Linked DNA regions of Saccharomyces cerevisiae S288C. The gene in region 1 interacts genetically with each later gene. Each region holds a gene or a part of one and is shown in the gene's direction. Other genes may lie near its edges.

Region 1 (4,180 bases):
CCACGGGCAAACCGCTAACTAAGGTGGATGGTAGCTTTAAAGTCAACCTAGAGAAGTCAAACTTATTCGAGGAATCCCAAAACCCGTAGTTTAACAAACATTTTTCATTAGAAATATTACCATAATTATTAAACAATTCATCCTGTGCACTAAATGTGGTAGTCTGCGACATGAAACAAAGTTCATTTTGTTCATTCATCTCCCATCTTACTGGTACATCGTTTTTATGGTTTAATAAATCTACTATTGGATACAAAAATCCTTCGTTCAGATTGGTGCGGTCTGTACCGGCCCTGCCTAAAATGACACGAGGAAATGCCCTAGAATTAAAGATGCAGTACGACCAAAGATACGCCACGAACGAGTTCCATTCCGAATCTTCTAGTTTACATCCATTGATGTGTGCGCAGAACTGTTCCAACGGCACTACGGCAGAGTCTTTATTCTCCTGGAATAAAGACAAGAACTGCTTATCTTGAGAAGAGTGTTCAATAGATAAAGCTTGGAACAGCATCCTCCACTCCTTTACTAGTTTGTTCAGCGTATCTCTCATAGTTAAGTACACGTCTGTACCATGCAAATTCATGACTTCATCAGTAGACCAAAAATATGGTTGTGGAAGGTGCAAGGGTAGCACATCTAAATATGGTTTGTAAAAGGATTTCAGGTGAACTGCATCGGTGCCAAATTTCAACTTTGACAAGTACAACTGTGTCACGGAATTCAAAAGACTCCTTTCATTAGCAGCCTGGGAAAATTCTGATAAAGCTTGCTGGGAAGTGATCAGCAGAGTTTCGGGTACCCTAATCAAAGCTTGGTCGGGTTTGGGAGAGAATTTTTCGTTTACAAATGCACTAACACCAGCATCCTCTGTAATCCTAAAAGAGATTTTCGGATCGATGAAGGCTCCATTATTTTGAGCCCATTGTAAGCAGTTATCTAGCTCAGTTTGGGTGATCATGCAGAAGTTCGTTAATTAAATGACGAGGTAGCTTCACCAAGCTTGATTCCTTAGTCTTTTTTACTTCCATCATTTCTTCTTTGTTGGAATGGTCAAGTTCAAGTTGAAAAATTTTCTTTTTCATAGTCAACTCATCGCAGGCACATTCGCCTTGAACGAACAACGAGCAGGACTCCAATAGAATAATAGTAATAGATTACAGGCCTATACAATCAAGACAACTATCAAGGTGGGGAGGGTTTCCACCTGTAACTTCCGCTGACTAATGATACATATTATCTGATCGGAAGCCAATGAAAGATCCCCTAAATATCACGCATGTAAGCGACCGCGATGAAGCGTACTGGCAGCTCTATCACGAAGCGATGGAAAAATACACCTGCGAATGAAAATCCATCAACAGAAATGAGAAGACAATTGTATATTATCATTAACGTTCATCTTTAGGACTTGTTCTCTTACGAAATTTGTGTGCCTGTATTTGTTAGAAAGCCACATATGTCTTGGCCTTTTTCACTTCTTTCCTGTTTGGGATTGCAAATTTATCAAAATGCACCCATAAAAGCAGGTGTGATATAACAAGCACATATCGTTAGGAAAATAGTGTCAAAGAGAAAAAAAGGCCAAGCAAATCGGAGTACAGTTTACATGAAGTAATGCAAGATGCATAGAACTGAAGATTTCAGGAATAATTGTATATAGGGGAGGAAACATTCGATAGCTCTCTTTTTGCTTTCGTTCACTATATCTCTTGTTTTCTTTCTTAAAAATATATGGACAGTAGTTCAAGCCACTGCATAGCAACGTACTAATGGAGTCTGTTCACTCTCGCGATCCTGTTAAGGAGGAAAAGAAACATGTCTTCATGGGAATGGAACACGAGTTGAATCCTGAGACTCATAACGATTCCAACTCCGACTCATATGGTCTCCCTCAGTTATCTGAAAAATACAATGCCTTGAGACAGAACAGGAGCCTAATTATCCAGCAGACTGAAATCATTGGCTCTGCTTACAATAAATGGTACTTACAAGCGATTTTACTTTTGAGTGCTTTCATATGTGGCTACGGTTATGGACTGGACGGTAACATCCGTTATATTTACACTGGTTACGCCACATCATCCTATAGTGAGCATTCTCTGCTGTCTACAATCAACGTCATTAATGCTGTGGTCAGTGCCGCTTCGCAAATCATATACGCTAGGTTGTCTGATGTGTTTGGTAGACTATACCTTTTCATTAGTGCTGTCATCCTATATGTTGTGGGTACAATTATTCAATCACAAGCTTATGATGTTCAAAGATACGCTGCAGGTGCCATTTTCTACAATGCTGGCTATGTGGGTGTAATCCTTATTCTTTTGATTATCCTATCCGATTTTTCATCTTTAAAGTGGAGACTGCTGTATCAATTTGTCCCGACTTGGCCTTTTATCATCAACACATGGATTGCTGGTAATATCACTTCCAGAGCCAATCCTGTTGTCAACTGGTCTTGGGATGTAGGTATGTGGGCTTTCATCTTTCCCCTATCATGTGTTCCAATCGTTTTGTGTATGTTGCACATGCAATGGAGGGCCAGAAAGACTCCTGAATGGCACGCTTTGAAGGGCCAGAAGTCCTATTATCAAGAACATGGTTTTATTAAGATCTTAAAGCAATTATTTTGGATGTTAGATGTCGTTGGTGTCCTTTTGATGGGTTGTTCCCTAGGTTGTATCTTGGTCCCACTGACCTTGGCTGGTGGGGTCAAAACTACCTGGAATGATTCAAGATTGATCGGCCCCTTTGTTCTTGGCTTTGTTTTGATCCCTATCTTATGGATTTGGGAATATCGATTCGCTAGAGATCCAATTCTTCCATATAGGCTGGTCAAAGATAGGGCTGTATGGTCTTCTATGGGTATTTCTTTCCTGATTGATTTTATTTACTATATGGCCGCTGATTATTTGTACACGGTTATGATTGTTGCCGTCAATGAATCCGTTAAATCTGCAACCAGAATTGCCACATTATCTTCATTTGTCTCTACTGTGGCCTCTCCATTTTTCGCTTTACTTGTAACAAGATGTACGAGATTGAAACCATTCATAATGTTTGGATGCGCGCTATGGATGGTGGCTATGGGTTTATTGTACCACTTTAGAGGTGGAAGTCAGTCCCATTCAGGTATTATTGGTGCATTATGTGTCTGGGGTGTGGGCACTACTTTGTTCACTTACCCAGTTACCGTCTCTGTACAATCTGCCGTCTCTCATGAAAACATGGCGACAGTTACAGCTTTAAACTATACCCTCTATAGAATTGGTTCTGCTGTCGGTTCCGCAGTTTCCGGTGCCATTTGGACTCAGACTTTGTACAAACAAATTTTGAAGAGAATGGGTGATGTTGCTCTAGCCACAACTGCCTACGAATCTCCATATACTTTCATTGAAACCTATACTTGGGGTACCCCACAAAGGAATGCCTTAATGAACGCTTACAAATACGTTCAAAGATTGGAAACTATCGTGGCTTTAGTATTTTGTGTTCCATTAATTGCATTCTCCTTATGTCTAAGGGATCCTAAATTGACTGATACTGTTGCTGTGGAATACATCGAGGATGGCGAATATGTCGACACGAAAGACAATGATCCAATTTTGGATTGGTTTGAAAAACTTCCATCAAAATTCACTTTTAAACGGGAATAAGTTGATGTTTACGTTGCATGATTGCTTGATATCACTTTCCATGACTATATTGCCCAAAATATACGGTGTCACCTCCTACTTTTTCCTCTCTACAAGACTCTACCATTCTAATGATCATAACCAAGAAAAGAAAAGATCAGAAATGTCTAGTTCTTTGCATATTCCTTTTACCATAACAGTATATGCATATCTACATGTATAGTGCGGCACTACTTAATATTACGTAACAGAGTAATATCTTTACTTCTTTTGTTCTGCCTGTTTATAACATCGATTGGCCAGTTGTCTCAGCACTTGCTTCATAACAAGTGAAAAATTAGAGGCGTTGAATAATTATGTACCTTGACTTTGAAGTCGGTTATCATAAGTGCTTCGAGAAGAGATATAAAGACAAGATAAAGTGTTATGTCAACTATGGTGAAAAAGGAAGGGAAGACAGGCGGTCGCTGAATCTTAAATCCACTCGCCTTTTTTTCTTTGTTTTTCCTTGGCAAGCCTATCCTTCCAGTCGGCTAAGCCCCATT
Region 2 (4,207 bases), on another chromosome or scaffold:
TAAATAATTGAATACAAAATGGTACAAAGGCTTCTACCGGGCGCACATATATGCAGAAGGTCCTTCAATTCGTCTGCAATTATAAAGTCTTCTGCATTGACTCTCAAGGAAGCATTAGAAAACGTGATACCTAAGAAAAGAGATGCTGTGAAGAAATTGAAGGCCTGTTATGGCAGCACGTTTGTCGGACCGATTACCATTTCATCAGTTCTAGGTGGGATGAGAGGTAATCAGTCAATGTTTTGGCAAGGAACATCATTAGATCCCGAACATGGCATTAAATTTCAAGGTTTAACGATTGAAGAATGTCAAAATAGATTACCTAATACAGGTATTGATGGCGATAATTTCCTGCCAGAATCAATGTTATGGCTGTTGATGACAGGTGGTGTGCCAACTTTCCAGCAAGCTGCTTCTTTCAGGAAAGAATTGGCTATTCGTGGAAGGAAATTGCCACATTATACAGAGAAAGTTTTGTCAAGTTTACCCAAAGATATGCACCCTATGACCCAACTTGCAATTGGTTTAGCATCAATGAACAAAGGATCCCTCTTTGCTACAAACTACCAAAAGGGCCTCATAGGAAAGATGGAATTTTGGAAAGATACTCTTGAAGATTCGCTAAATTTAATTGCTTCACTCCCGCTGCTGACTGGGAGAATTTATTCGAACATTACAAATGAGGGACACCCATTAGGTCAATATAGTGAGGAGGTGGATTGGTGTACAAACATATGTTCCCTGCTCGGCATGACAAATGGAACGAACTCTTCTAATACATGCAACCTTACTTCCCAGCAATCCCTGGACTTCATAAACTTGATGCGGTTATATACCGGTATACATGTAGACCATGAAGGTGGTAATGTTTCTGCTCACACCACCCACTTGGTTGGAAGTGCGTTGAGTGACCCGTATCTCAGCTATTCATCTGGAATAATGGGATTAGCGGGTCCTTTGCATGGGTTAGCAGCACAAGAAGTAGTAAGGTTTCTCATAGAGATGAACTCTAATATTTCCAGCATTGCACGAGAACAAGAAATCAAAGATTATCTTTGGAAAATTTTGAATTCAAACCGTGTGATCCCCGGTTATGGGCACGCAGTTTTGCGTAAACCGGATCCTCGATTTACAGCAATGCTTGAATTTGCGCAAAAGAGGCCTATTGAATTTGAGAACGACAAGAACGTTTTGTTGATGCAAAAATTGGCAGAAATAGCGCCTAAGGTTTTGTTGGAACACGGAAAGAGTAAGAATCCATTTCCCAATGTTGACTCTGCATCGGGGATTTTGTTTTATCATTATGGAATCAGGGAATTATTATTCTTTACCGTCATTTTTGGGTGTTCAAGGGCCATGGGACCCTTGACACAACTTGTTTGGGATCGCATTCTAGGTTTACCAATTGAAAGGCCCAAGAGTTTGAACTTGGAGGGTCTGGAAGCACTTACCAAAGCAAGCAATGTTAACAAGTTGTAACGCAGTTCCAATTTACAAGAATGCTTCGTTTGCTATTACAATATTGAAATATAAATAAAATTCCATACAGCATGTCTAATCATAGCTAATTTATACATATTCATCATGAAAACATATAGGGGAAAATATGGTCGGTTAACACACCTATCAAAAAATTATTCAGCAATTCCAATCTCGTTAGTAAAATATATTCTTATTTTTTTTTTTTTTCTCTGATTGTATTATTTCTGGAGTTTTGACTTATTTTTTTACCACATCGCGCTTTTCGTCCCCAATCTCTCTGATATATGATGCTGTCTATAGGTAGCCACTTCCCCGATGTCGGACCTCGGGCCGTTTACAAACTTTATTGAGATGACCTTATTTCTCCACATTCTAGTCATTCAACTTTTACCCTCATATGTTTACCTTCACTAATGTGAAAGCATGACCAAAGAAAGTGTATAAGGTATATAAATCTGCCATAATGTATGTATAACTTATTAGGACTTTCTCAAATAGTATTTTGGTATTTTCTACTGTTCTCTGATGATCGAGAGCAAACAGAATGTTTTTAGCCAAAAATCTAAAAAATAATAAAATCAAGGTATGCTTGCCTAAAAAGAAATTTGCTGCGCTGAGTACAGCGTCTATACAAACTAATGAAAGACCAAATCCAGATAAGGTTTTGAAGGACATCGCGAAATATGTCCATGAAACCCCATTAAAATCATCTTTGGCTCTAGATACAGCACGACTCTGTTTCCTTGATACTCTAGGCTGTGGCTTGGCGGCTTTGAAATTTAAGCAGGCTCAAAATATTATTAAACCAATTGTGCCAGGAACAATAGTTCCCAGTGGAACAAAAATATTGGGCACATCTTACGTTATGGATCCAGTGAAGGGAGCTTTTGCCATTGGTACTCTAATACGTTGGTTAGATTACAATGACTGCTGGTTAGCTGCCGAGTGGGGGCACCCATCAGATAACCTTGGGGGAATTTTAGCTGTCGCGGATCACTTGTCCAGATTAAACAAGGCTACCCACGGAAAGAATGGAAAACAGTTTCTTGTTAAAGACGTATTAGAGGCAATGATTAAAGCGCATGAAATCCAAGGTATTATAGCGCTCGAAAATTCTTTCAATAAAGTAGGTTTAGATCATGTGGTACTCGTGAAAGTAGCAACGGCTGGTGTTGTCTCGAAGATGCTGGGCCTGAGCCAGGAACAAACTATTGAAGCATTGTCACAAGCATTTGTAGACGGTCAATCACTGCGTACTTACCGTCATGCCCCAAATACTGGATCTAGAAAGTCGTGGGCGGCGGGAGATGCAGTTTCGAGGGCTGTAAACTTGGCTTATTTAGTCAAAAATGCTAATGTTGGCACGATACCTTCAGTATTAACAGCTAGAACCTGGGGATTTTATGACGTTTTATTTAAGGGTAAACCTTTTTCATTCCAACAAAGATCAAAATATGATTCCTACGTCATGGAAAACGTTCTGTTCAAGATATCATTTCCTGCCGAATTCCATGCGCAAACTGCTGTAGAAGCTGCTGTAAAAGCATATAGGATTCTTGCCAAACAAGGGAAAACTTTTAAAGATATTAAATCGATCAGAATTAGAACTCAAGAGGCGGCAATGAGGATTATAGATAAATCCGGTCCTCTGTATAATTATGCCGATAGGGATCATTGTATCCAGTACATGATCGCGGTTCCGCTGATTACTGGTAATCTCACAGCTACTGATTATTCGGATGAGGTCGCAAGAAATCCTGAGATCGATAACTTGAGATCGAAAATGTACTGTATCGAAGATACTCATCTCACTCAAAACTATCACGATCCTGATAAAAGGTCGATAGGAAACGCTCTTCTCATAGAGCTGAACGATGGGACGCAGTTGGATGAAATTTTTGTAGAGTACCCTGTTGGTCACAAATTTAGACGAGAGGAAGGAATACCATTACTAATGAATAAATTTCAAAGGCATCTGCGCGAACATTTTGTAGAGAGCCCTGATAAAGTCGACCTTATAATGAAGGTAAGTTCAAAAACAAACTTTTTGAATATGCAAATCGACAAATACATGGATTTGTTTACTGAGGGATGAATGGTTGGCTCTTTAAGAGCGAACGGCATGGTACCTACTTCAATTTTTAAAGACAAAAGGCGCCGTTTCGATAAACAAGAAATCACTTTCAAAACATAATTAAACCAAAGAACATGCGGTTTTCTAATTATGCTGGCTTAATTTTACTGGTATTTATCTACATAATAATAACTATTAAAAAATTAAATAATTGGCTCTATTTATTTTTCTTTCTTCAACTTGCAAGAGTTCGTCAATTCATGGAAAAATACAAAAATAGAAATGCGAATTCTGTGGATCGAACACAGGACCTCCAGATAACTTGACCGAAGTTTTTTCTTCAGTCTGGCGCTCTCCCAACTGAGCTAAATCCGCTCAATTTCTATGCTCTAACCACCTTAGCTAAAAACTCAATACAGGATTAGTTGATAAATGGGTGTTATCAACTCAATCCACAGTGTTGGAATCAGAGTCAGTTATCATCTTTGGGCTAGTATTATTGTAAGTGTTGGAATAAAAATTCTAAAATATCATCCATTTAGTAGTGTTCATATTACTAATATATCTGTTGGAATAAAAATCCACTATCGTCTATCAACTAATAGTTATATTATCAATATATTATCATATACGGTGTTAAGATGATGACAT
Region 3 (3,289 bases), on another chromosome or scaffold:
ATGAACTAGAGTGCGATGGTGATGCCGACTGGTAATATTCGGGCATATACATGCCCGGTTTACTCACACCTGCAGTATTAGAAGGATTAGAAACTACCCTAGGAGTAGCAGTGGTTGGGGTATGTAAACCAAATTTGGCTGATTTAGACGCCGATGGAACGTTTGTGTTTATATTAGAAGGTGGCTGGATATTCGATGAGGCCTTTCCCTGCCTAGATGATCTTGAACCGCTTCTAAAAAGTTGCATAACTTTAGAAGATAGCGCATGTTTCCTTGGAGTTTGCTGAGGAATAGCGGCATTATTATCATTCATACCAGTCATATATTTGAGGGGTAATGTCGAAATAAAATAAAATCTGATTACTTTTTTTTTGATTACAGGGAATAGTAGTCACAATACTTACTACTAGTTAATATCTAGCGGTAAATGGAGAGTAAAAAAAGGTTGAGAGCCTAATATTAGAAAGCTACCTTAAGCTTTCCAGTTTTTATTTGTAACTTAAAAACGCTTAAAGGCTTAGTACAACTTATTGAACAGGACTTTGAAAGTCCAAATTTTATTCGATAATGTTAAAGTGAATAACAACAACCCAGCAATAACAACAACAACAACAACACAACAGGTTATAACGAAACCGACAGGAAATCGTCAAAAAAAAAAAATGATAAAAAATTCTTAAAATCGAAACTCCAAGTAAAGGTCTATATTAGGGTTTAATAAACTTTTGCTAAAAAAAATTGCCGAATATCTCTATAAAGTAGTATATTTTCTTCTCCGTTTCCTCTTCCCTCTTTAAAAGCTGTAATATTATATATACTATTTGTATAGCGGAAAATGCGTGAGATGGCAAGAGCTCGGCCTGTTAACATATTAGCACGGGGAGGCCGATGTTGATTTGATGAAATGACGTGCCAGGTGATTTTTCCATTCGCCATGCCGGGGGTTGAGAAAAAATTTTTTCTCCGTCGGAGATAAAAAAAAAAAAAGAAAAGAAAAATTAACGACCCCAGTGAGGGTTGAACTCACGATCTTGCGATTAACAGTCGCACGCCTTAACCAACTTGGCCATGGAGTCATTTTATCTTGTGTCACTTTTACAGAAAAAGTATTACTAATATATGTTGAAAATTTTCCAACTACCCTTCGAGTATGATTTTACAACTGCGTCAAAGAAACCATGCAAAACAGTTGACTAATATCGCAACTGTTTTTTTTTCTCATTGCCTTTGAAAGAATGGAACACTCCTCACCACGAGGTTCTAAAAACTATACCAACCACAGTTTGGACGTACATCTGAAGATGGCATCCAATAGCAGCGGTATTCATTTGTGCGGGCTGGATTGAAAAAAGCATCACAATTATTGGGGCGTTTATTGTAGTCTTTGAACCGAGATAATCCAGGTGTTAAATATTGGTTGGATATGCATGCAAAATTTTCAGCAAAAACGATGGAAGCAGAACAAACAGTGCTTATCTTTGCTTCTGCTCTTGTGTAAGTCTAAAGGACAATATCTTTGTTATTAAGCACTCTAGCTGCCCACTGTATAAACAGAACTTTTGACAAAAAGTCTAGCCAGCGATGATATAATTTGCCTGCACAAAGAGTTTACTATTAGTAGCACAACTAAGTCATCGAAACGCTTTTAGTGGACAGATCTAAAGTTACAAATATTTAGGTATGCGTAAAAGGGTAATTAACCTAGTATCAAATGAGTCGAAGCCCCGACCGCGCCCAGAAGAAAAGCCATTATCATTTAGGTGACGCCTTGTTCTAAGGCTTAGTTAATAATATTCCTTTCAACCAAACAATGACCTTCCAAGGTGTTCAGTAAGTGGCTCTCATTTTAAGTTAGTTGGGTATTATACGCCTTGTATCCGGGGCTATGCTTAGGTTAAATAAGAATACTGCTTGAATAGCTCAAGTTTACAAAATAATTTAAAAAGAGTTTATGAACTTCAATAAAACTTCGAACCTGAAAATGTAAGTCTGTGTTCTGTTTATATACACCAGTCGGTTGTCTATACCATATCAAGACAAGAAACAAAACTCCGTATCTGCATGCAGCCTCATTTAGACAACAACAGTAATAATGACGATGTCAAATTGGATACATTAGGGGAACAAAATGTGTTATCATCCGCAGAAAATATCACTTTACCTGAAGACACCTTTAAATCATATATGACCTACTTGCTGTACGAGATGGCTCATTACAAACCGATGATATTTTCCTTCTTGGCACTTTCAGTTTCAATTTTAATAGTTGTGATCTTTCATAATGTTAAAGCTTGTGATGTCGTTTTTGGTTTTTCAATTTTCGTCACTTCTATTTTGTTTTTGTCTACGTTGATTCCGTTTAATGTGTATATCTCGGATGAGGGTTTCAGAATTAAGCTTTTGCTGGAAGTTATCACCCACAGGCCAGCGGTAAAGGGAAAAGAATGGAGAGCAATCACAGACAATATGAATCAATATTTACTTGATAATGGTTTATGGAGTACTCGCTATTACTTTTATAGTAGTGAAAGATGCTACAAATTCTTCAGATTTCTTGTGAAAGAAAAACCCCCAGGTGTGAATGTAAATTCATCGGTAAAGGACGCCACAAGTACGCAGATAGATGCACCAGCAAATGAGGCTTCAAATGAGGTAATAAAATGCTTTAGTTTCAGTTCTGACCCAATATTCGAAGCATACTTTGTTAAAGCAGTAGAAGTTGAGAAACAAGCACAACAGGAATATTGGAGAAAGCAATATCCTGACGCCGATATACCATGAAATATAAATCTTGATAATTTTATTTAGCACTTATACTGAGCGATGTACCAAACCGATTCTAAATTCACAATTCATAATGGAACTTAATCGTTTATACAGTATAAACAAGTAGAAGTATTTTGACAGAGATTAATAAATTTGTGCCACACGAAGGGGCTTTCTCACAGCTAATAATATTGTACAAACTAAAGGATAGAATATGCTGTGGTGCAAGTTGGGTGCACATTAACGTATTGTCGTGCATTCCCTATCATTTTTAAGGGAAGGAAATTAATTCTAATGGCTAGTTACTTACTCTCAGGACTCCATAATTAACATGTAGCAACTGAAAAAAGAAATTTTGCTGTGAATGACTTGTGCTCAAGATAAGCTTCTTTTTCTGAAGGTTTGTTTCTTATTGCGAGCACTTTTTTCTGTATATAATGTAACAGTGAAGAGCAGCATCTATATGTTAAAGTGCTTCATGTATGGTTAAGCAGGCTTTGCGGCTAAAAAAAAAGGAATGCTT

Evidence for each region.
Region 2: mutations in ARN1 (region 1) and PDH1 together harm fitness more than expected from each alone (negative genetic interaction), as found in Saccharomyces cerevisiae (2 studies listed by BioGRID).
Region 3: mutations in ARN1 (region 1) and DFP3 together harm fitness more than expected from each alone (negative genetic interaction), as found in Saccharomyces cerevisiae (2 studies listed by BioGRID).

Annotation. Positions count from the first base shown.
Region 1 is NC_001140.6:18,564-22,743, reverse strand, and holds ARN1 (siderophore transporter), read left to right. Parts: upstream 1-1,772; coding exon 1,773-3,656; downstream 3,657-4,180. Other genes in the region: EFM1 (protein-lysine N-methyltransferase), read right to left, coding at 1-961. UniProt on the Saccharomyces cerevisiae protein: Involved in the transport of siderophore ferrichrome and so has a role in iron homeostasis.
Region 2 is NC_001148.4:556,359-560,565, forward strand, and holds PDH1 (putative 2-methylcitrate dehydratase), read left to right. Parts: upstream 1-2,026; coding exon 2,027-3,577; downstream 3,578-4,207. Other genes in the region: citrate (Si)-synthase CIT3, read left to right, coding at 19-1,479. UniProt on the Saccharomyces cerevisiae protein: Catalyzes the stereospecific dehydration of (2S,3S)-2-methylcitrate (2-MC) to yield the cis isomer of 2-methyl-aconitate.
Region 3 is NC_001135.5:125,503-128,791, reverse strand, and holds DFP3 (DUP240 family protein), read left to right. Parts: upstream 1-2,061; coding exon 2,062-2,781; downstream 2,782-3,289. Other genes in the region: serine/threonine protein kinase SAT4, read right to left, coding at 1-322.